Linked DNA regions of Xenopus tropicalis. The protein of the gene in region 3 interacts with the protein of the main gene of each other region in a biochemical or structural test. Links are inferred from orthologs where the notes say so. Each region holds a gene or a part of one and is shown on either strand. Other genes may lie near its edges.

Region 1 (4,291 bases), on a different chromosome or scaffold from region 3:
CTGCTATGTAGCCATGGGGGCAGCCATTCAAAGGAGAAAAGGCACAGGCGCATAGCAGATAACAGTTAAAACACTATTGTATTTTACAGTACTTATCTGTTATCTGCTATGTAACCTGTGCCTTTTCTCCTTTTTTCCAGCTTGAATGGCTGCCCCCATTGGCTACACAGCAGCTTATTATATAAATTATAGTAGGGTTACTGTAGCAAACACACCAATTTTACCAGTGCAGGGCAACAGTACATTATATTTTTATTACCTTTAAGATCTTGTAACACCAAACTTTTTATGTAGCCCTTTGATGCCCATGTCCAAAATAATATTTTTCCTTGTATTAGGCCAGAAATATTCTCCCTCCTTGCAGTCTTTTCTTTCCAAGACTGACACCAAGTACACCATCTCATTTTTGGACATAGCAGTAGGCTTTCTCCTGTCACTGTCATCCTCCAAAGCTTGATCCCTCATGTGCAGCTTGCATATGGCGTCTGAAACCAAGTTTTTGTTTGTACCAAAACCTTTTGTTTGTTGGCCAATTTGTGACTTACCTCGGTATGGAGAGGATCTAGTGCACAGCAATCCAATCTTTGCATCTGAGCGTTTGGCTGAGGGACACCTTTACTGGCATATTGCAGCAAGCATTTTATGTTTAAAAAACACACCTAGGCCAACTTTTGTTGGTTCTGTTACTTAGTTTTGCTGCAAGGAAACCATTATTGTAATAATAATTTATTTCAGATATTCCCAGCTATAATAGATCATGCCATTGGAGAATCTTATGAACCCTGAATTCTTGAGAGAATTAAGATGAGGAAAAGTTTGTGGCAAAAGCATAGCACTCCCAGATGCAAGGTAAAGGGTAAACTGGTAAGATGGATATTCCAGTTCCCACAGTAAAAGAGACAATAATGGGTTCTTAAAAGCTGTAAATCCAAAATAATCACAAATACCTTACAAACACCTAGTAGTACTTAGTAAGCAAGTCATAGCGGCATTTACTTGGCCACAAAGCTATGGGGGCTCTGAAAGAAGTAGGTGTGGGCGGCGCTACCACAGGATATACACGCCACTGGGCGGGCCAGGGCTGATTGAGACTTTCAGTGTTTGGAAGCTTCTGTTGACAGGAGACATTCCATAGAGATTAATAGAGCATTGGTTAGCTTGCCTAACCATAGATTCTATAATGGGTGGGGCAAATTACTGATTGGCTCCGTGTGGCCAAGGGGCTGGGGATTTGCTTTTTCCAAGCGAATACTTTGCTCGCAACTATTTTCCAAATTTTGATTGGCCGGTGAAAGAGATGTTCGCGGGATTGGTCTCATGTCGGAGGATGTCTTTGCTGATTGGCTGCGTGTAGTCTGTAAGGTTGGGTTTCTCAGAGAGGCCCGAGAGGTGTCGGCTGCTGCTGTTGTGGGGTGAACCGAGTGTAAGGCGCGGCGGGGGGATTAGGTAGAGCAGATGGCTCCGCGGTGTTGAAGCGGTGGAGCCGACATGGCGCGGAGCCCCGGGGAGGGCAACGCGTCCCCATCCGCCAGTTTACGAGGTACTAGGGAGACTCTGAGTGACTCCGAACTAGAGTCTGTGGGCTCAGACTCCGAGATCAACGGGTATGTAGCAGAAAGGAGGACCGACCGGTACGGCTTTCTTGTGAAACCAGAGTCCCAGGGAGAACCGTAAGTATCAAGCGAACCCACTGTAGGGACTGTTTGCGTCTCTGACTGCGTTCGGGCATCAGTATTTGTCTGAGGGGGGATAGCTAGGAGGGAGAAAAGTGAATGAATGCAGCCAGGTGGAACTGGACAGGTCGGAGCTTTCTGGAAGATGAGCGAGAGTAGCAGTGGCGGAATGTGCATTAGCAGGGCCCAGGGACGTGTGTTCCTGCCAGAATGTCCCTGGGATTGGAGAGAGGGATTACACGCGATTTACTGACACTTTGGGATTATAGGAAAAGTGTCAGCTCTGAGGGGAGTGGGAATCATTGGGAGGTGGCGAGAAGTGTCAGTGGGAAGGCGGTGGTTTGTGCTGTAGGGCTGACAGTGCTGCTACTCAGGTGCTGCTGATGTGTCACTGCCGTGTGTCATGTGGACTGCGGGGAGAATACTTGGACCTTTAAACTGGGTTCTGAGACAAGTGCCACAGTGCTTGATTGTGTTTCTGGCATTTGCCTGGCTTTTGGGTAAAAGATAGTGCCACTGTGTGTTTGAGCAAAAATCAGAAGCAGTATTCACACCACTATGTGTTGAGTTTGGCAGTAGTCAGAACAAGCATGTATGTGAGTAACTGAGCCACTGTGTCTTCCGAAAGTTGCATTTTATCAGTAATAAGGGCAGCATAGGTATCATCAGTCAAGGCAGTTAATTTACTTTATCAGAGAGAGAGAGAGCTTTTTATGGAGATTGTCATTTCTTTACCATATTCCTACAGCATGCTGTGGTCAGTGTCATCATGAGACAACCTGTCTATATGTTTTTAAACTCTAGAAGGAATCTTATGCAGAGAGAAAACATAGGAAACCCTTGCACATAGTGACCTGGCCACAGTCTAACTTAAGGCCATTGCTAACCTCTATGATATTGTGCCACCCACTTTGCAAAAGGCCATTGTGTTTATCATGGGAAAATTGTTGCTGGTCCCACTGTGTTTTGGTGGGGAAATCAAAGCCACTGAATGTACGTGTCACATGTGGTAGCAATTTCTAACAATTAACCTTACTGATACTAATGTCTTGTTATAGCTCTATCCCCACCATCAGGGTAATATATGTTATATGTTGAAAAAAGTTTCAAGTGCAGGACTTCATTCCTTGCAAACATGTGTTTATTGTGCCATTGTGTATCGAATGTTTGCAAAAAATGAAGTTCTGCAGCTAAACCTTATTTTAAGTGTGATGGAAGTTAGTGTCACTGTCAGTTGCAGTCAGTCAGTACCACTGTTTGTGTATTTTTGGATAGTTAACTCGGCACCAAGGTCAGCAGTTAATGACATTTTGTATCTGTGCTTAGGAAGAGGGGCACAGTTGACATAAATACATTGACATAAGTGTAGGGGCAAAATGGCAATAACAGATTAGTGTGGGGCAGTGACCATTCGTGTACGGGTAGCGCTAAATAGGTCATGCTTCAGGCTGGGGGTGGTCCAACATTTATTCTAATTGTGTTTCATTATGTGAGCAGTCTCAGGGCGTTCAACAAAAAATAATTAGCTGCTGTGTATGGTAATGGGCAGGAAGTTTGTATCGTTATACTACACTCAGGGATTAGGAAGTATGGGATAGTGCAAGTTTAGTTCCCTTAACCCAGTGAATAGGTTAAACAAATGTGGAACTAGTAGTCAGTATTTGCTTCTATTGCTGTGGGGGGTTGTTGAAAAAAGCATGTCTGTGCCTTTAGGGGGTTTCATTTGTCAATAAAGTATTAAATCAATGCTTATATGTTTGGCAGGGAAACAATATGAATATTGTATTCAGTAACAACCATAGAACTGGTCGTTAGGGCTATTGTGATTCCCAGTAAGGTGCTAAGTGCTGTTATGTCCATAAAAGGCGATGGTTTCAGAAAGAAATGGCATTAAGTAAATTTCCCGGCAAAGGGGTTAGTTTTCATGTGAATAAATGAGTATACTAGCCTGTAGGTTTTATTTTGTTGGTAGATCACAACACTAGCAAAGGCTAAGACTTTACTAGTAGCACAAATAGTGAGAAATAACAAATGTATCATCTAATTATAGAATGCAAAAAACTTTTGCTACCCCAATATTTCATATTGAAGACAAACTACATTAAAGAAAAATATACCATGTTTTTTATATGAGCGCCTTCAGTTGGGCTGATGTAAAAATGGTGCATAAACACTATCTGAACTACCAAAAAAAAAAAAAATAAAATAAAAATAAAAAAAAATATATATATATATATATATATACATACATACACAGATATTTTTTACACAGATATAACTGGCTGGTGTTCAACCCCTTAGGGTCCAACTGTAATGCAATACCTGCCTCACCTTGTTTCGTTGTAAAGTGATGTATTCTGAGGCTTGAGGTTCCATTGTTTTCCGTAGTGGCTTGTGCACAGATTATCTGGATAGCAGAGGGACCTTAAACCCCAAAATCCATCACTTCATTATGGAACACGGTAAACATTTTGCAAAACTGAATTGCACAAGGGGCTATTCCCAGAGTTTTGCTGCCCATGTGATTTCTGTCTTGGCAGGTAGGAACACTGGGAAATACACCTCCTTGCAAGTTAGGTGATTATGAAGAAGCATGGCGAATACCAATAAGTGAGGGA
Region 2 (4,401 bases), on a different chromosome or scaffold from region 3:
CAAACTGGTCATTTAAAGAAGAACTGGTAATGCCATTTTTCTGCTTTTTAAAGACACTGTTAAATAAGTTTTGGGACATTAGTGATATTGACACAGAAGAAGCTGATTACAACAACTGAACAGTTGATCCTGATTTCAAAATGATTTTTGAAAAATATTAGCACAGACAATAATGAGTCGGACTTACCGGTTTTGGCATTTTCAGTTATGCGTCTACTCCTTTCACCTTGTAGTAATAATGATATAAAGTCTGTCTTGCTTAGCGCCAGTCCTGAAAATTGCAAATTGGTAAAGGGGATAAATGATAAAAGTAAGAACTAATTGCCTATAGCCCTAAATGGCTACTGAATCTCTTCCCTGCCTACTTAGATATTCTTCTTAGACCTATGAATCAGTAATAAAATTAGTCATCCAACTAAACCTAAAAAGTTTCAGGTGAAAGAAAGCCCATCTGCAACATGGAAAATACTGTCATTCTCCCAAACCTAAAAACCCAAACATATATTAATGTGGTGCCTCATACAGAAGTATTTAGCTACATGAGAAGGACGTAGGGGTGAGGATGCTGGGGAGAAACAGGGATGTGTTGGAATGCTGTAAACATCTTCCAGCTTTATTTCTGATGAATGCGAGTTGTAATGAACCTGTTAGTTCACTGTTTTTCCACAGACACTTGCTACTGCTGACTGATAATTAAAACAGACAGGAAATTAAGTACACTAATGCTTTAAAAGTTCGATGAGCCATGTATCTCAGAGAAATCTGGTTCTACTACATTTATTTCATAACTGTAACGCTATAATTAGGGCTGAATGAGTCTCTTTATAAATGCAGCCCACCATGTCCTTGTGATGCAATGATTTTCAATAGAGAAGGTGAGTCTAGTATTTAGCAGTGGAAGCTGAATTAGCTGCAGGCGGCCCCACCTTTACCTTGGCTAAGCTTATAACTTGTTCTCCAAGTTTGTACAACTTCCTTTAAAATGTCTTGTGAACTACAAGTCCTCTGTTTTCCCCGGCTCACAAAGCATGATATTCTGTGCCTTGAATGAGGATTTTGTGTGTGATAAATGACTGAAATATGGCATATTAGGGTGTCAATTCTTTGTTGCTTATTGATGTGGCTCATCTGAAATCACATTTGGCATACATGCCTGACCTTTGGTAACTAACTTCTATCTCATCTCAGGATAAAACTTTAGGCTAAGATTAACTAGACTGTACTACATATTGCATGAAACTGAAAAACTGAAAAGCCTTTATGTCAGTGTACACATCATTACCACATTTGTGCTCAAACATTATTCCCAAGAGTTCAACACTAAAATGCCCAAGGGGACATTATTATTATGTAATAATCATAAAATAAAGCTGCCCCTTTATTACCAAGTAAATTCAAACACAAGGATACTGTATATAACGAACAATGTAATATAAGAGTTAATGAATACATATAAAATGCTGCAGGTGTTTCCTTCTCATGTCCAGCTGTATAATACCTGTTGCAGGGACAATAAGGTTTATAGGACAGCCACAATTGGCCCGAGCAGCATCAGCAAATAAATCCTGTGTGTCTCAATGCACAAGCTGAGTTAAAGTGAAAGGGAACTGGCTGTATAACCTTATGTATAATTCATGTAAAGCACTAACAACCATGCTATCTGTGCACACAGATATATATATATTTTTTTTAATCCCTGCCCCTAAAGCTTACTCTAAATTTACAGGGGATACAGTTTCCTATTCCATATCAAAGAACATATCAGGTCCTTAGGAACTCATCTGATTTTCCTGTACTTATGGCACCAGTTCCAGGAACTATGTATATATTATGCAGATTACATTGTGCTTTCAAAAAAAATGTCCCTCAAGCTATTGTTGAACTACAGCACTCAAAAACTAACCCTAGCAGGAGTGAGAACTTTCTAAATTTTCACATAATAGGGTGGTAAATGTTCTTCTTTAAAATAATAACTTCTGATATAAGAAAAGCAAACTGATATGATGGCCCATAACCACGCTATATGGGTTAAATAAAAAAGTGAATGTAGAATGTTGGGCAGCCATTGCCTTATATAAGTTTAATGATTAATAAATGTCTTATATTAAGAGATTTATGAACAGAAGGAAAGCTGGCAAATAAGAACATAACTGCCAATCAATGAACAGAGCTGCAAATCAATGAGAAGACTGACCCAGAATATAGCAGAAATTACGGTACATGATACAGAAATCACAAAATATACCTTCTAATAAAGAAACTAATTCAGGGTGTTTTACTCTGTAATTTGGTAAGTTGCCTTAGTGAGGCAGTCACAGGTAATCATGTTCCTCCATTTACAGCACAACAATGCACAGTCACAGACATGCAGCCAGACTCACAGTCTCGCTCTTATACACACAGAAAGAAGTAGATTCAGTCCCACTCCCTCAATACTGGAGCAGACCCATTTTGTAATACTTTGAAACATTCATTTGACCAGGCTGTGATGAAAAGAAACAAAGTAACAAAGCAGTTACTGCTTTCAAAGACACCTGCAATATTATCAGAAGAGAATCAGCGAACTAGTAGTTTCTGTGTTCTTGAACACTATCATGGGGATAAGGGACATTTGCTTTTGCCCTGCTTAACTGAAAAAACTCCATTACCATTGCCTCCTGTGGACGTCTATGTGAGGAGCTAATCCTGTAAACACCTGTTGCCAGTCTGTTCCCTTTATAATTCACAGAAAACACAGGGTGCTCAGAGAAACTTATCCTAAGCTGTAATACACAAAAATAACCTAGAATCAAGCATGTGCTACTTACTCTTTCCTCCTGTACACAACCAGCTGTACCTTCTTTTTGCTGCTCTCTCCCTGGGCTCTCCTGTTCTCCCCACTGGCTGCAATATGGCTGAACTGCCAACTTTGTCCCACAGGTCCCTCCTTCTTGCCACTCCCTCTCTTGTGAAACTCTCTGCCTACCTGCCTCTCCCCTGCTGCCAGCATATGCACTCGGCTGTTGCCTGAGCTGGGAGGGGGAACATCCTAGAGTAAAGTACAGGAGAAGATATAAATACAACAAGATGCTCTGTATCATAACAGGTATAGAGGGGCGCAAACTGTTAGGGGTTGATTCACTAAAGTGTGATAATGCTTAGCGCATGCTTTTTTGCATTAAAAAGCACATGATAAATAGGTACCGATTCATCAAAGTAATTTCGCATGCATTAAAACGCATATCGCATGCGCAAAAAAACGCTATTTAATGTTATTTACCTTGCATTGCGTTAATTCTCGCATACATATAATACTAACGCATGATTCACAAACACATATGAAGCGTTAAATGTGCTAAATATCGCATTAGTCTGTGCGAAAATTAACACCTACTTGGGGCAGGCAGTACTTAAAGAAAATTGTGGTTCATGAGCTTTTGGCAACACAACATGGACTTTGCAGTGGGATTTTTTCAAGTATGTATTACATATGTTAAATCGTGCACTAATATCGCACGTGGTCATATATATTGTGTGCAGCGGGAAATAATGCACGTGGCGGGAAATAACGCAAGAAAAATGCTCATCGCAAGTTAACGCAAAGAACATCTCGTCTAAATTATGACGCCTGTCCTTTTAGTGAATCATGCATTGTCGCAAAAAATAAGAAGCGATAAAATTTTTAACGCATGCTATATAATTTTAACGCACTTTAGTGAATTGGTCCCATAGTGTGATTCTGTAAAATTTTTATAATATCAAAGTCAATTTTTTTTACAGACAAGCATTCAAAAGCAATTCACAATTCTTGTACGTGTTACTTGGGTGAAAAGTGCTTATCATATGTGGCACTTCAATTGCAAAGTCACAAGAAAAACAAAGTGCCACATATGTGTTCCCACTGGCGATTCACTTTATTTCTGGTTTAAAAACATTTTGGGAAGCTTTGTCACCCATGGTAGCCCAAATTTAATAAATATCCCTGTGTTCCATTAGCTTGAGGGAAACACTTACCAGTGGGAAGAGCTGTTGTAACAAGCACTAGCATGGCTTAGAAGGACCCAACAGGAATATGAAGTGGGCCACAAATAAAATTGCACTGCAATAAATAAAGGGCATGATTACCATAATTTCAGTGTATATACTAGATATATATATATATATATATATATATATATATATATATATATATATATATATATAAGGAAGTGGAGCACACCCTATAAAGGCTCAAATGCCCTGGGTGCTGGCAAAATGAGGAAATATAAGGACAGAGAGCCGCACGCACAAGGATTTAGCAATTAGTGAAAAAATGTATTTGAAAAAATCCAACGTTTCGAGTACTGACTGTACTCTTCTTCAGGGACAAACCACTTTGTCCCTGAAGAAGAGTACAGTCAGTACTCGAAACGTTGGATTTTT
Region 3 (4,370 bases):
GACATATTAAAAATTCAGCAGCTCACACAGGCAAAAGGGATCCACAAGTGGGCTTTAATATGGGGCTCGCTACAGGGGTGCTACTCTGGATGCCTGGCTCCCCCATCATTCACAGAACCCACCACCAACCAAACTCATGGGGAACAGGGCATCACAGCTGGGTGGGGGAGGGATTCCCCTATAGTTAACCCACTGGTTCTCCTAGTGCACCCTGACTTGTGTGGTTCTAACCGAGGGGCGTTCTAGGGGGACCCCATGTGCTGCACACCCAGCAGGGTTGGACTGGGGGGTGCAGGGCCCACCGGGGCTCCCGCCCCAGGGGCCCTGCAAGTGCCCCAGCCGCGTCCCCTAACCCCCCCAGGGGCCCCCCTAACCCCCCCGCCTGACGTCCTCCCCGAGCGCGTATAAATTGAACGCGTCAGGGGAGGAACAGTCAGTAGGGGGAGCGCCGGCAAAGGTCGGACTGGGCCCACTAGGGCGGCCCAGTCCGACCCTGGCACCCAGTGTTGGACCAGCCAACCATGATACCAGGAAAACTCCCGCTGGGCCCAGGGGTCAGTGGGCCTTCCTGCTCCTGACCATTTGGCCTGTTTCATGGTCATTCCCTATTTCTGAATGGGAAGAAAGAGAAGGAATAGATGGAAGAATAGATGCTAGCATGTAAATAAAACAGACTAGGAGAATAAAATGGTTGTGAAGAAAGGAGGATATTTTGGAGAATGGGCCCATGGTCTTAGGTTCTCTGGTGGGCCCCTGGGGTCCCAGTGCGCACCTCTGCCGCTTCCGAATTCAGCATATATATTGTGTCATGCACAGCTCTCTAGAATGGCACCCCGGTGAGCAAATAACACTGAGCTAAACAGCACAATAATGGTAGCCTCAGTGAGGGGCAGTGCCTGAGGAGCTGTATGAGGCGAGGGGCAGGTGCATGCCAGGGTACTGGGGAGTTGTACTGCTCCCTCCTCTCACATTCTTTGGATGCCTCAAGCTGCTCATTAATCTCCAGTGCAAAGTCCCCATGCTGAATGCACTAATTGCTCACTATTATAAACACTGCTGCCATCATCAACCCCCCCACCCCTCCCCTCACTGGCACAGCTCCACCCTGCTGCCTGAGGTGCTGCAATAATACTCTATGTTCTGTCATACTCAGTTGGGTCAGTCTATGTACAGGTTTATAGATGCTGCTTGGATGTCAAATGACCCATTAAAGTGGTTTCACTGACAGCAGACATGTAAAGATGCCACCTGTGCCTATGGGCCGTATTATATTCCCCGGGTCACATGACTCGGCGGCACTGATTAAACTTTACTCTGAGGGCCCGAATCCCGCGTAAGCTCATTGGAATAGGCGCGCCTCTCTCTGAACTTTCTCCTCCAATCACGTCCCTCGGCAATACTGTCCCCGCCCTCTTATTGGACATCTCTCATATTTGTCACCGCCGCGCCCTCCCTTTCGCTATATAATCTATAAGCTGGCAGAGCCTGAGTTCAGTCAGGCGCAGAGTAGCGGCTCGATATGGCTTCGGAGCGGGTGTGCGTGTTGGAAAAGGGGGATTCGGGCTACGGGTTTCATCTGCACAGTGAGAAGACCCGGCCGGGCCAGTATGTGAGGCTGGTGGAGCCTGGCTCAGCAGCTGAGAAAGCAGGACTGAGGGCAGGGGACCGGCTCATCCGGGTGTGCGGGGAGGATGTGAGGGAACTCGGGCACCAGCAGGTGGTGAGCAAAATCCGGGCAGCGACTGAGAAACTCACCTTGGAGGTACAGGGAGTAGAGGAGGAGGTGGCCCCCAGCTCCCCTAAAGAAGAAAACAAGGTACTCGGCTCAGAGCGAATTATGGGGGCAGCCTGGCGAGCCCACTGCACCTGGTCACATGACTTGCCTACTGGAGTCCTGCTGATAATAGCTTCCCCTTCAGTATGGGGGGGTCGGGGCAGTTTGCTGGCTTTATACGTAGTATCCTACCCCTGCTAAGTGATGCCATGCAGTGCCAGGGTATATACTGCTCTTGCTAGAGTTTCTAATGCTGAACTTGTGTTTGCATAGTGGATAATGTACCCCCTATTGTAAAATATAAGGATATTATAAGTCAGAGAGGAGTTCCTTATAATATATAGTGACTAAAGTACCCCCTATTGTAACATATAGGGATATTATAAGTCCCTGAGGAGTTCCTTATAATATATAGTGAATAAAGTACCCCCTATTGTAACATATATGGATTTTATAAGCCCCTGAGGAGTTCCTTATAATATATAGTGAATAAAGTACCCCCTATTGTAACATATAGGGATATTATAAGTCACAGAGGGGTTCCTTATAATATATAGTGAATAAAGTCCCCCCTATTGTAACATAGGGATATTATAAGTCACAGAGGGGTTCCTTATAATATATGGTGAATAAAGTACCCCCTATTGTAACATATAGGGATTTTATAAGTCACAGAGGGGTTCCTTATAATATATAGTGAATAATGTACCCCCTATTGGAACATATAGGGATATTATAAGTCACAGAGGAGTTCCTTATATAGTGAATAAAGTACCCCCTATTGTAACATATAGGGATTTTATAAGTCACAGAGGGGTTCCTTATAATATATAGTGAATAAAGTGCCCCCTATTGTAACATATAGGGATATTATAAGTCACAGAGGAGTTCCTTATATAGTGAATAAAGTACCCCCTATTGTAACATATAGGGATTTTATAAGTCACAGAGGGGTTCCTTATAATATATAGTGAATAAAGTGCCCCCTATTGTAACATATAGGGATTTTATAAGTCACAGAGGGGTTCCTTATAATATATAGTGAATAATGTACCCCCTATTGGAACATATAGGGATATTATAAGTCACAGAGGAGTTCCTTATAATATATAGTGAATAATGTACCCCCCTATTGTAAAATATAAGGATATTATAAGTCACAGAGGAGTTCCTTTACTATATAAAAGCATGAGCTGAAGGCTGACTTGTAATATCCTCATATTTTACAACAGGGGGCACTTTATTATAATATCCAAGTTTTAGTGATTTGTGTGACAGAAATTACATCACTGAGCTCTGATTATAACTGATGACATCACTAGGCACCGTTTATAAGGATCCCATAGGGGAGTGATCAAACTGTAAATTATAAAGATATAATCAAAGAGCCATGATTTCCTGTAAAATGGGTTCTTCTACGTGGTGCATAGTGATGTCATCAGTTATCTTTAATTTTAATGATGTAATTTGTCATATGACTCACTGTGTCTATAAAAACCGTACCACTATTATATAATATGATATTAGAAGTCACCATTTGTTCCATGACCAATAGAACGCCTTGTGGTTTTAGACTGGTCATGGAATGCCAACAACCATTGACCTCATGTCCTTATATCAGTGATCCTCAACCAGTGGCTCAGGGGCAACTTGTTGCTCCCCAACCCCTTGGATGTTGCTCCCAGTGGCCTTCAAACAGGGGCTTATTTTTGAATTCCTGGCTTGGGGGCAAGTTTTGGAGGCATAAAAAACAGGTGTACTGCCAAACAGAGCCTCCTGTAAGCTGCCAGTCCATATAGGGGCTACCAAATAGCCAATCACAGCCCTTATTTGGCACCCCTAGGAACAGGTTTCATGCTCGTGTTGCTCCCCAAGTCTTTTTACATTTGAATGTGGCTCACAGGTAAAAAAGGTTTGGGACACCTGCCTTATATGGATCTCTTTAACTTTTAATATCCTTATAATTTACAATTGGGGGTACGCTATTCTCCGTTTAGTGGATCGGCCACACACGGCAGCCAAGCTGATGATGGATGCCGCTGTCATTAGTGGGAAGCAAACTATGGGCCAGAGAGTAATCGGGACCCCACAGGGTATAAGTTCCAGGAAAGGCTTCTAGGAAGGGACTTTATAACAGAGGCTCGGCTGTCTCGGCACAACTATTCTAGATACAAAGTCAGTTGCAGCTCAACAAGCTTTTTGCCCCTGGGCCTTGCCAGCACTAAAGACAGCCCTGGCATGGCACCGCTCCAGTCTGGTGTGGCAGCTTCAGCTGGGTACCTGAGTGCCTCAGTTGCCTGGCATGAATCCTAGACTTGGGTATTTAATTCTTTCTATAGAGAAGGGTATATAGTACCCTATGTGTTGGTGGTGGTGGAGCTGTGCCATTATCCTGGATTGGCATCAATTACCAGCCTATGTACCAATCAGAACCCCCCCCCTCCTCCTCCAAGTAGAACTGACATATGTTTCTGAGTAATGCCCACTTTATCTAGACCAATGATCCCCAACCAGTGGCTTGGGGCAACATGTTGCTCCCCAACCCCTTGGGTGTTGCTCTCAGTGCCCCCAAACCAGGGAGTTATTTTTGAATTCC
Region 4 (3,652 bases), on a different chromosome or scaffold from region 3:
TAGTACACTTATTAGTGTATTACTCTTATTAGTTCTTATGTCCTCCTAACTGTAGCAGTGTTATTTTTCTGTCTAGAGCCGTATACAAAGATGCTGACCTCTACTTGATGGATTCTCCATTCAGTTATTTAGACTTGTTTACAGAAAAAGAAATATTTGAAAGGTATGTAATCAGCTTTATATAAGCACATATAAACAGGATTGATTTGCTTTATGATGATTTAAATTAGTGCTGCATATTGATTAGATGGTTAAAAAATTGGGTGGCACAGAATAAATAATCAGTGCAAAGTATTTTAAAATGCTGAGTAATTGATTTTCATAGAGATAAGAATACTAAAGTTTTCCATTAGCCAGAACTTGCAGTAAGACTTTCCTTTTGCTATTACTGGCTAGAGTAACAGAATGTTGTTTAATAGTTAAATAAAAAAAACAAGCCATTTAGCTATATATATATATATAGTATGTATTTATTATAGAGAAATGTGCTTATTTATCAGCAACTATTGATTTTTACGTTTAAACTGAGACATATCAAAGTTAGTTTTACTTTATCATTGATCAAATATTGTACTTACCTTGTAAACAAGACTGTACCATGGCAAAAATCCAAATTATATATTTGTTTTATCTGGCATATTACTGTTAAGCTAATAATTGGTAATGACGGTTTATTTTGATTTTTAGTTGTGTTTGCAAGCTAATGGCTAATAAAACAAGGATTTTAGTTACATCTAAAGTTGAACAGCTTAAAAAAGCTGACAAAGTGCTGATTTTGCATGAAGGAAGCTGTTATTTCTATGGAACATTTTCTGAACTTCAAGATCAACGTCCTGAGTTCAGCTCTCATCTGACCGGATTTGATCACTTTAATGCAGAAAGAAGAAACTCTATAATAACTGAAACCCTGAGAAGATGCTCCATTGATAGCGATCCAACAGCTGTTAGGAATGAAGTCAAGAATAAGTCATTTAAGCAGGTTGCAGATTTCAGTGAAAAAAGAAAGAACTCTGTTATTAATCCTCGGAAATCCAGCAGAAAATTTTCTATCATGCAAAAAAGTCAGCCACAGATGAGTGGAATAGAAGAGGAAGATATTCCCCCTAATCAAGGAGAACGAAAGCTTTCATTAGTTCCTGAATCAGAACAGGGAGAAGCCAGCCTGCCTAGAAGCAATGTTCTTAATACAGGTCCTACATTTCAAGGCCGCAGGAGACAGTCTGTACTAAATCTAATGACTCGCACCTCTGTTTCTCAAGGTTCCAATGCCTTTGCAACAAGAAATACATCTGTTCGTAAAATGTCTGTAGGTTCTTTCTCCAACTCATCTTTTGAAGTGGATATATATAACAGACGACTTTCACAAGACAGTATTTTGGAAGTTAGTGAAGAAATCAATGAAGAAGATTTGAAGGTAAACTTTTTTGAATATGAAAGCATAGCGTGTAAGGATTCACTGTCAGTTTTAATATTTTCATTCTTAATCAGAATGTTAAATGTGTTGGTGATAAAATACGCACCTGATTAAAAAAAGGCAAATTAAAACTATTTTGTTACTAATGTTAAAAATGCAATAGTACATATGATAAACTTCGTATGGAAGATCAACTTTAGGGATCATAGGTCAAGTTTCAGACCATTATGCACCAGCGTTATCTATATGTGACAGACACATATTTTATTTTTACAATTTTGTAAAAAGTTAATATTTTTTCTCATTCATCTATTCTTAAAAGCTCCTTCTTAGCTTTAGGACCACTTTGGGCCTATAGTCTCAAGGAGAGAGAGAGAGAAGGAGTAGAATGCCAACCTTTTATATTAGAATGAAAAATACCTCAAGATATGTGTAAAGAGTCTTCATAGTTGCTTTCCTCTATTCATTTCCTTCATGGTGCATCTTGTAGTCAGGATAGACCAGTAATATTTAACTGTATTGGCTATAAACTATACCCTCCTACGTTACCCTATCTTATGGGAATTGTAGAAGAGGTACTGGTATTTGGTGCACCCCTAAAGCCCCTTTAACATGTCAAGGAATGCAGGTATTTTCATCCACATTAATGTGCAGTTGGCCTTGACATTGGTTCTAACAGGCTTTGTCTCTCACTTTGCAGGAATGTTTCCTGGATGATACAGACAGCCCATCACCAACTACCACATGGAACACATATATAAGATTCCTTACAGCTCACAAGAATTTCATTTTTATTCTTGTATTTTGTATAGTGATATTTTTAGCTGAGGTAAAAAACATATTTCTGATTTCTAATTTTGAAAAATATTTACAAAAGTCTTTCCTCGCTATTAAAGTGATACTGACAAAAAAGACTACTTTTTCAATTATGAATCTACATAAAAAGTTACCTATAGGTCATGTTGATCATTTTTTGTTGATAGGATTGCTTTTATAAGCCATTGCTACTTGAAGTTCCAAAACCTGACTGTTTTGCCAACCTGACTGTCCCTTCTCAGCCTGTAAGTTATAGCTTCTCCTCATAGAGGAACATGGGGGATCAGATAGAGAATGTAAAAGCTTTAGGAATTACTTTTATGGTGAAATTATAAAGCTCATGCAAAGACAGTTTTATGATGTAAAAAAGGTTTCAGTTCTGGTGTCAGTATCTCTTTAAGGCAATTTATGCAATATATTGAATAGTATCTGTTTTAATATTTAATCTTTCATTACCATTTCTCTCTGGGGAGTGCTAATAAGTAAATTGCTAATCCTACCAATAAAAAGGGGGACTTTTTTTTATAAACCTTTTGTTCTTCTTTTGACTATCTGACAGGGCAACCAAATGATTGGCTAGATTCTTACACTAACCAAGCCCACACTGACCAAGAAGAGATCAGTGACATCAAAGTTTTTTATAGGGTTATAATGTCTTCTACAGCTCTCAGAACTCTAATATGTCCCACAGTCAAGTGTCTACAATGACTACACTTACACCAATGTTTAGATCATCCTCGATATAAAAATATCTTGTTAGAGACAGTTATACGCCTTGGGTTTTTTTTTATGTGACAAAAAAAAAATAAATCTTGAAAATGATACATGTATTTTTGTTAAAGTCAACTGTGCCACAGTTTAAGGGGCTGATTTACTTACCCACGAACGGGTCGAATGGAGTCCGATTGCGTTTTTTTCGTAATGATCGGTACTTTGCGATTTTTTCGTATGTTTTGCGATTTTTTCGGATTCTTTACGAATTTTTCGGATCCAATACGATTTTTGCGTAAAAACGCGAGTTTTCCTATCCATTACGAAAGTTGCGTAAAAAGTTGCGCATTTTGCGTAGCGTTAAAACTTACGCGAAAAATGCGCAACTTTTCGCGTAAGTTTTAACGCTACGCAAATTGCGCAACTTTTTACGCAACTTTCGTAATGGATACGAAAAACTCGCGTTTTTACGCAAAAATCGTATTGGATCCGAAAAATTCGTACAGAATCCGAAAAAATCGCAAAACATACGAAAAAGTCGCAAAATATTCGTTTTCAAGTCGGAACTTTTCCAATTCGGGTCGGATTCGTGGGTTAGTAAATCAGCCCCTTAGTCTTGTGCTAATATCACCACTGTGGGTAGGAATTTGCTATGAGCTGAGATTCTGAGTTTCTGAAAGAGCAAATGCACCTAAGGAGATGTCTTTGCTA
Region 5 (3,410 bases), on a different chromosome or scaffold from region 3:
TTATTATTTAAGTAGTGCTTTGATAAAACAGCTGCTAACCCCTACTGCTGACTACCATTTCACTTAAATAGGCGACACTAGTCAACACTAGTCAACTTGCATGGCCATTTAAGCACTTGAAAACATGATGGGCAGTGTTCAAGCACCAGTACTGTGGGACCTACTGTGCTTCTGTTTCAAATTAACAGGAAAAAGACCTTTGGTTGGTAGAAGCTCTTTTCCTATATACAATCTGCCTTGTGTTCCATAGCTCCTAGAGGCAATGGCTGCTCTCTCTATAGCTTCCAGGAACTTGCTAGGACCCACCCATCACTCAAAGTTATTTTAAAATTACTTACAAAAATGTTGTGTACACAGACTCCAAGGGAACCTTGCCTTGAAGATGAGGCTATTGTACATGAAGGGGGTCCAGTAAACAAAGTAAAGTTCTACCAGTCTCCAGGAGCAAGTCTTGTGTTACCCACCAAATAAGAAGCAGTTTTTCCCTGGAAATAAATTTCATAATTTGGCACCTTTGATATTGGTATTTCTAGCTCTGGTATTGGAGTCTTGTATATCTGGCACTAATAATGTATTAACGCATTGTTTTTTGTAAATGGAAACATGAGGGCCAACGTATTTTTTCTTTGTGCATGATTGCCTATTTCTGTATGGCACTGTACTTTATTTTCTTATCAGGCACTGCATTCATAGCAGGGAAATGGGTGCTGCAGCATACACCAGAAATTTAATGATGAGATCCCTCCATGGGTAGGCTGTTGGAGGTGGCGTTAATGAGATATTACATGATTGACTAGCTTTAGGTAAAGATTTTCCAAGCCTGAGACAGCTTAAAATATCAAGTAAAGGTAGAATATCTTTCTATAGGGTCTACCTTTAGTGCTGGAAAAAAAGATGCATAGAAAATATACGTAAATGTATACGTAGCATAGGTTATTCATTAAGCAACATATTTGCCTTTTGGTGGGAAAAAAAACTAAAACGAGTTGCTTAGAAAAAAATAGAGGATAAACCGTTCTACAAGCCGATTTGGGGATAATTGCTGCTCCACCTACTGCTTTGCTTCATTTGACTGCCATTTGGTTGAGGTCCATTATTGTATCAGCGTGGCTGCTCCAATTTATATTCAGTTGGACAGTGTTTCCCTTTTTTTCTGGCTTGTAGGTCGGTTTTGATTAGTCCTTTCTCAGAAATGACTGTATTTTTTAAATTGTTAAGATGGTCCATTTCTTTAATCAGTGTGTGAGAAGCAACAATATCTGTTTAGAGTTGTGCAAGTTGATTGGTTCTAGGAGTTCATCCTCTGTGCAATATTTCCAAGTATTTGCGCAAATACTGAACTTTCCCTTCCCAAGCGTAAGGAGGGCACATGGACTACATGACTCACACATACTGTATACGGCAAGAGCTGATTTCAAAATATTGCACATAGATAAATGTCAAATGTGTGTAGAATATTCTTTTCTTCATAATATAGTTATTTTTGCAGTTTTTTTTAAACAAAAACACTAGTACCTTGCAGTTCATACCTTTTCATATTTACAAAACCATCCTTCCTTCCCAATAAAGGTGCTCTGTAGACATTTGCTGAGCAAGCAATAATATTTCTGTAGATGGTAGCTTTGCTCCAATACAAAGTGCATTTCTTTGGTCTTATCATTTCTGTTTGACTCTTTGGCATAATGCTGAAATACTCTCAATTGTCTTTATCTGAGAATGATCAGTTCAAAAGTATCCACCGGCTACAGAAAACTCTCCTCTATGTCCTGCTGTTGACACTCTTGACATGGGTCATGTTCTAAATCCTGATCTGGCTGCTCCAAGGGGCTGTCACAGGAAATCGTAGATGAAGTATTGCCTTCCTGTAGTGTAGAGCTGGGAAGAAACAATATAAAAAGTATGTTAGCTTTAAAAGTTTTTTAGAAATCTAACCAGGAAAGTACCAAATCCACAGTTTTTGCATTTGCCTTACAGAATCCTTCACAAATGTTTTAGCCAAATTCTGAACCAAGTACAAGTCCAAATTTGTATAGTTGGATTTAAGGAAATTGTTTAAAAATTGCATCAACTGTGAATGGAAAATGATTGTGTTCAGGAGTCCAGAGCTTAATTCATATTGGTGAGAGGGGCATTTGCACTCCTTAGTGCTCTAGCACTTGTTTCCCAGCTAGTTTTAAATCAGCTTTTCAATGTATTTGTGCCTGAAGAAGCAGAGTCATTTCAGAAAATATATTTGTGTTTAATTTTGAAAAAGTAATTGTCACACTTGTGCCAATCTTTTTCATTCTCAATGGAACACTTATGTGTCATGTAAAGCCAGCAAGATATAAGAAAACTTAGAAATGTAAGAAATGTAAAGGAAATAACTTCATAAAAGCAGCCATACACATGATCTATATGTGGGTCTACTTGTCAGATCCCCTACAAGAGGCCACAGTATGGATTCTATATCCATATTATCTAGATATCTGTTGAGGCAACTTCATTTTTAATTTTTTTTTTTTAAATATTTACTTTTTCATTGTGTAACTGTTATGCTTGGAGTTTTAACTGCTATCTGGTTGGTAGGGCCTAAATATCCTAGCCACCAGGCAGCTTTTTTGGAGTCTAAATGTAAGATTAGTAGAAGAGGATCTAACTAGAAATACTGTATAACCAATACAAATAGTACAGCATATTCTACAGTATATGGATAAATTGGAAGCCATGTATTTGACCTGGTATTTGGTTGTTTGGCCAGTGACCCTGACATCTATATAGTATTTTCAGCTGAAGGCCAGAAAAACACAGAATAAGAAGGCAAACTGAACATGAACACATAAGAAAAACAAAACGTAAGACAGTATGAAACGTTTCCTAGAATAAGTCAAACAGAATAAAGGTCTATTTAATGGTACTATGCTAAAAGCCAAGACTAGAGAAGCAATTGTCAAATCCAATAATGTGTTCTTTAATACATTATATTTACATTGTAGAATACAATCATACATTAGAAAATGATGACAGAACTATTTGTTGTAATCAGGAAACTATATTTCCCCTTTTGTGGAGACATGATTCACTGAGGGCTTTAAACATCCCACATGTATACAGGAGTGGTCCCCAACCAGTGGCTCAGGAGCAACATGTTACTCACCACCCCTTGGATGTTGCACCCAGTGGCCTCAAAGCAGGTGCCTATTTTTAAATTTATGGCTTGGAGGCAAGTTTTGGAGGCATTAAGACCATGTATACTGCCAAACAAAACCTCCTGTAGGCTGCCAGTCCACATAGGGGTTACAAATAACCCAACAAAAAGTTGGGGACCCCTGGTATATAATAAGCACATGAGGTATCCTTGCCAAGTAAGAATTGTTCATACAGTGTATGGTTTATAATTATTAACAAGTGTTTATAGAAGGCCATTATTT

What was found.
Region 1: the proteins of slc9a3r1 (region 3) and tbc1d10a form a complex in vitro, tested with the Homo sapiens proteins (2 studies listed by BioGRID and IntAct). The link is inferred for Xenopus tropicalis from reciprocal best matches to the Homo sapiens genes NHERF1 and TBC1D10A.
Region 2: the proteins of slc9a3r1 (region 3) and ezr form a complex in vitro, tested with the Homo sapiens proteins (2 studies listed by BioGRID and IntAct). The link is inferred for Xenopus tropicalis from reciprocal best matches to the Homo sapiens genes NHERF1 and EZR.
Region 4: the proteins of slc9a3r1 (region 3) and cftr form a complex in vitro, tested with the Homo sapiens proteins (9 studies listed by BioGRID and IntAct, with this or other methods). The link is inferred for Xenopus tropicalis from reciprocal best matches to the Homo sapiens genes NHERF1 and CFTR.
Region 5: the proteins of slc9a3r1 (region 3) and pdgfrb form a complex in vitro, tested with the Homo sapiens proteins (2 studies listed by BioGRID and IntAct, with this or other methods). The link is inferred for Xenopus tropicalis from reciprocal best matches to the Homo sapiens genes NHERF1 and PDGFRB.

What each region holds. Positions count from the first base shown.
Region 1 is NC_030677.2:144,359,036-144,363,326, forward strand, and holds the start of tbc1d10a (TBC1 domain family member 10A), read left to right. Parts: upstream 1-1,461; 5' UTR 1,462-1,488; coding exon 1,489-1,670; intron 1,671-4,291.
Region 2 is NC_030681.2:64,260,013-64,264,413, forward strand, and holds the start of ezr (ezrin), read right to left. Parts: upstream 2,889-4,401; 5' UTR 2,808-2,888; intron 272-2,807; 5' UTR 200-271; coding exon 188-199; intron 1-187. UniProt on the Homo sapiens protein: Probably involved in connections of major cytoskeletal structures to the plasma membrane. In epithelial cells, required for the formation of microvilli and membrane ruffles on the apical pole. Along with PLEKHG6, required for normal macropinocytosis.
Region 3 is NC_030686.2:43,958,952-43,963,321, forward strand, and holds the start of slc9a3r1 (Na(+)/H(+) exchange regulatory cofactor NHE-RF1), read left to right. Parts: upstream 1-1,500; 5' UTR 1,501-1,519; coding exon 1,520-1,816; intron 1,817-4,370. UniProt on the Homo sapiens protein: Scaffold protein that connects plasma membrane proteins with members of the ezrin/moesin/radixin family and thereby helps to link them to the actin cytoskeleton and to regulate their surface expression. Necessary for recycling of internalized ADRB2.
Region 4 is NC_030679.2:68,543,465-68,547,116, forward strand, and holds part of cftr (cystic fibrosis transmembrane conductance regulator), read left to right. Parts: intron 1-76; coding exon 77-163; intron 164-687; coding exon 688-1,414; intron 1,415-2,114; coding exon 2,115-2,243; intron 2,244-3,652. UniProt on the Homo sapiens protein: Epithelial ion channel that plays an important role in the regulation of epithelial ion and water transport and fluid homeostasis. Mediates the transport of chloride ions across the cell membrane.
Region 5 is NC_030679.2:21,261,330-21,264,739, reverse strand, and holds the end of pdgfrb (platelet-derived growth factor receptor beta), read right to left. Parts: intron 1,876-3,410; coding exon 1,743-1,875; 3' UTR 554-1,742; downstream 1-553. UniProt on the Homo sapiens protein: Tyrosine-protein kinase that acts as a cell-surface receptor for homodimeric PDGFB and PDGFD and for heterodimers formed by PDGFA and PDGFB, and plays an essential role in the regulation of embryonic development, cell proliferation, survival, differentiation, chemotaxis and migration.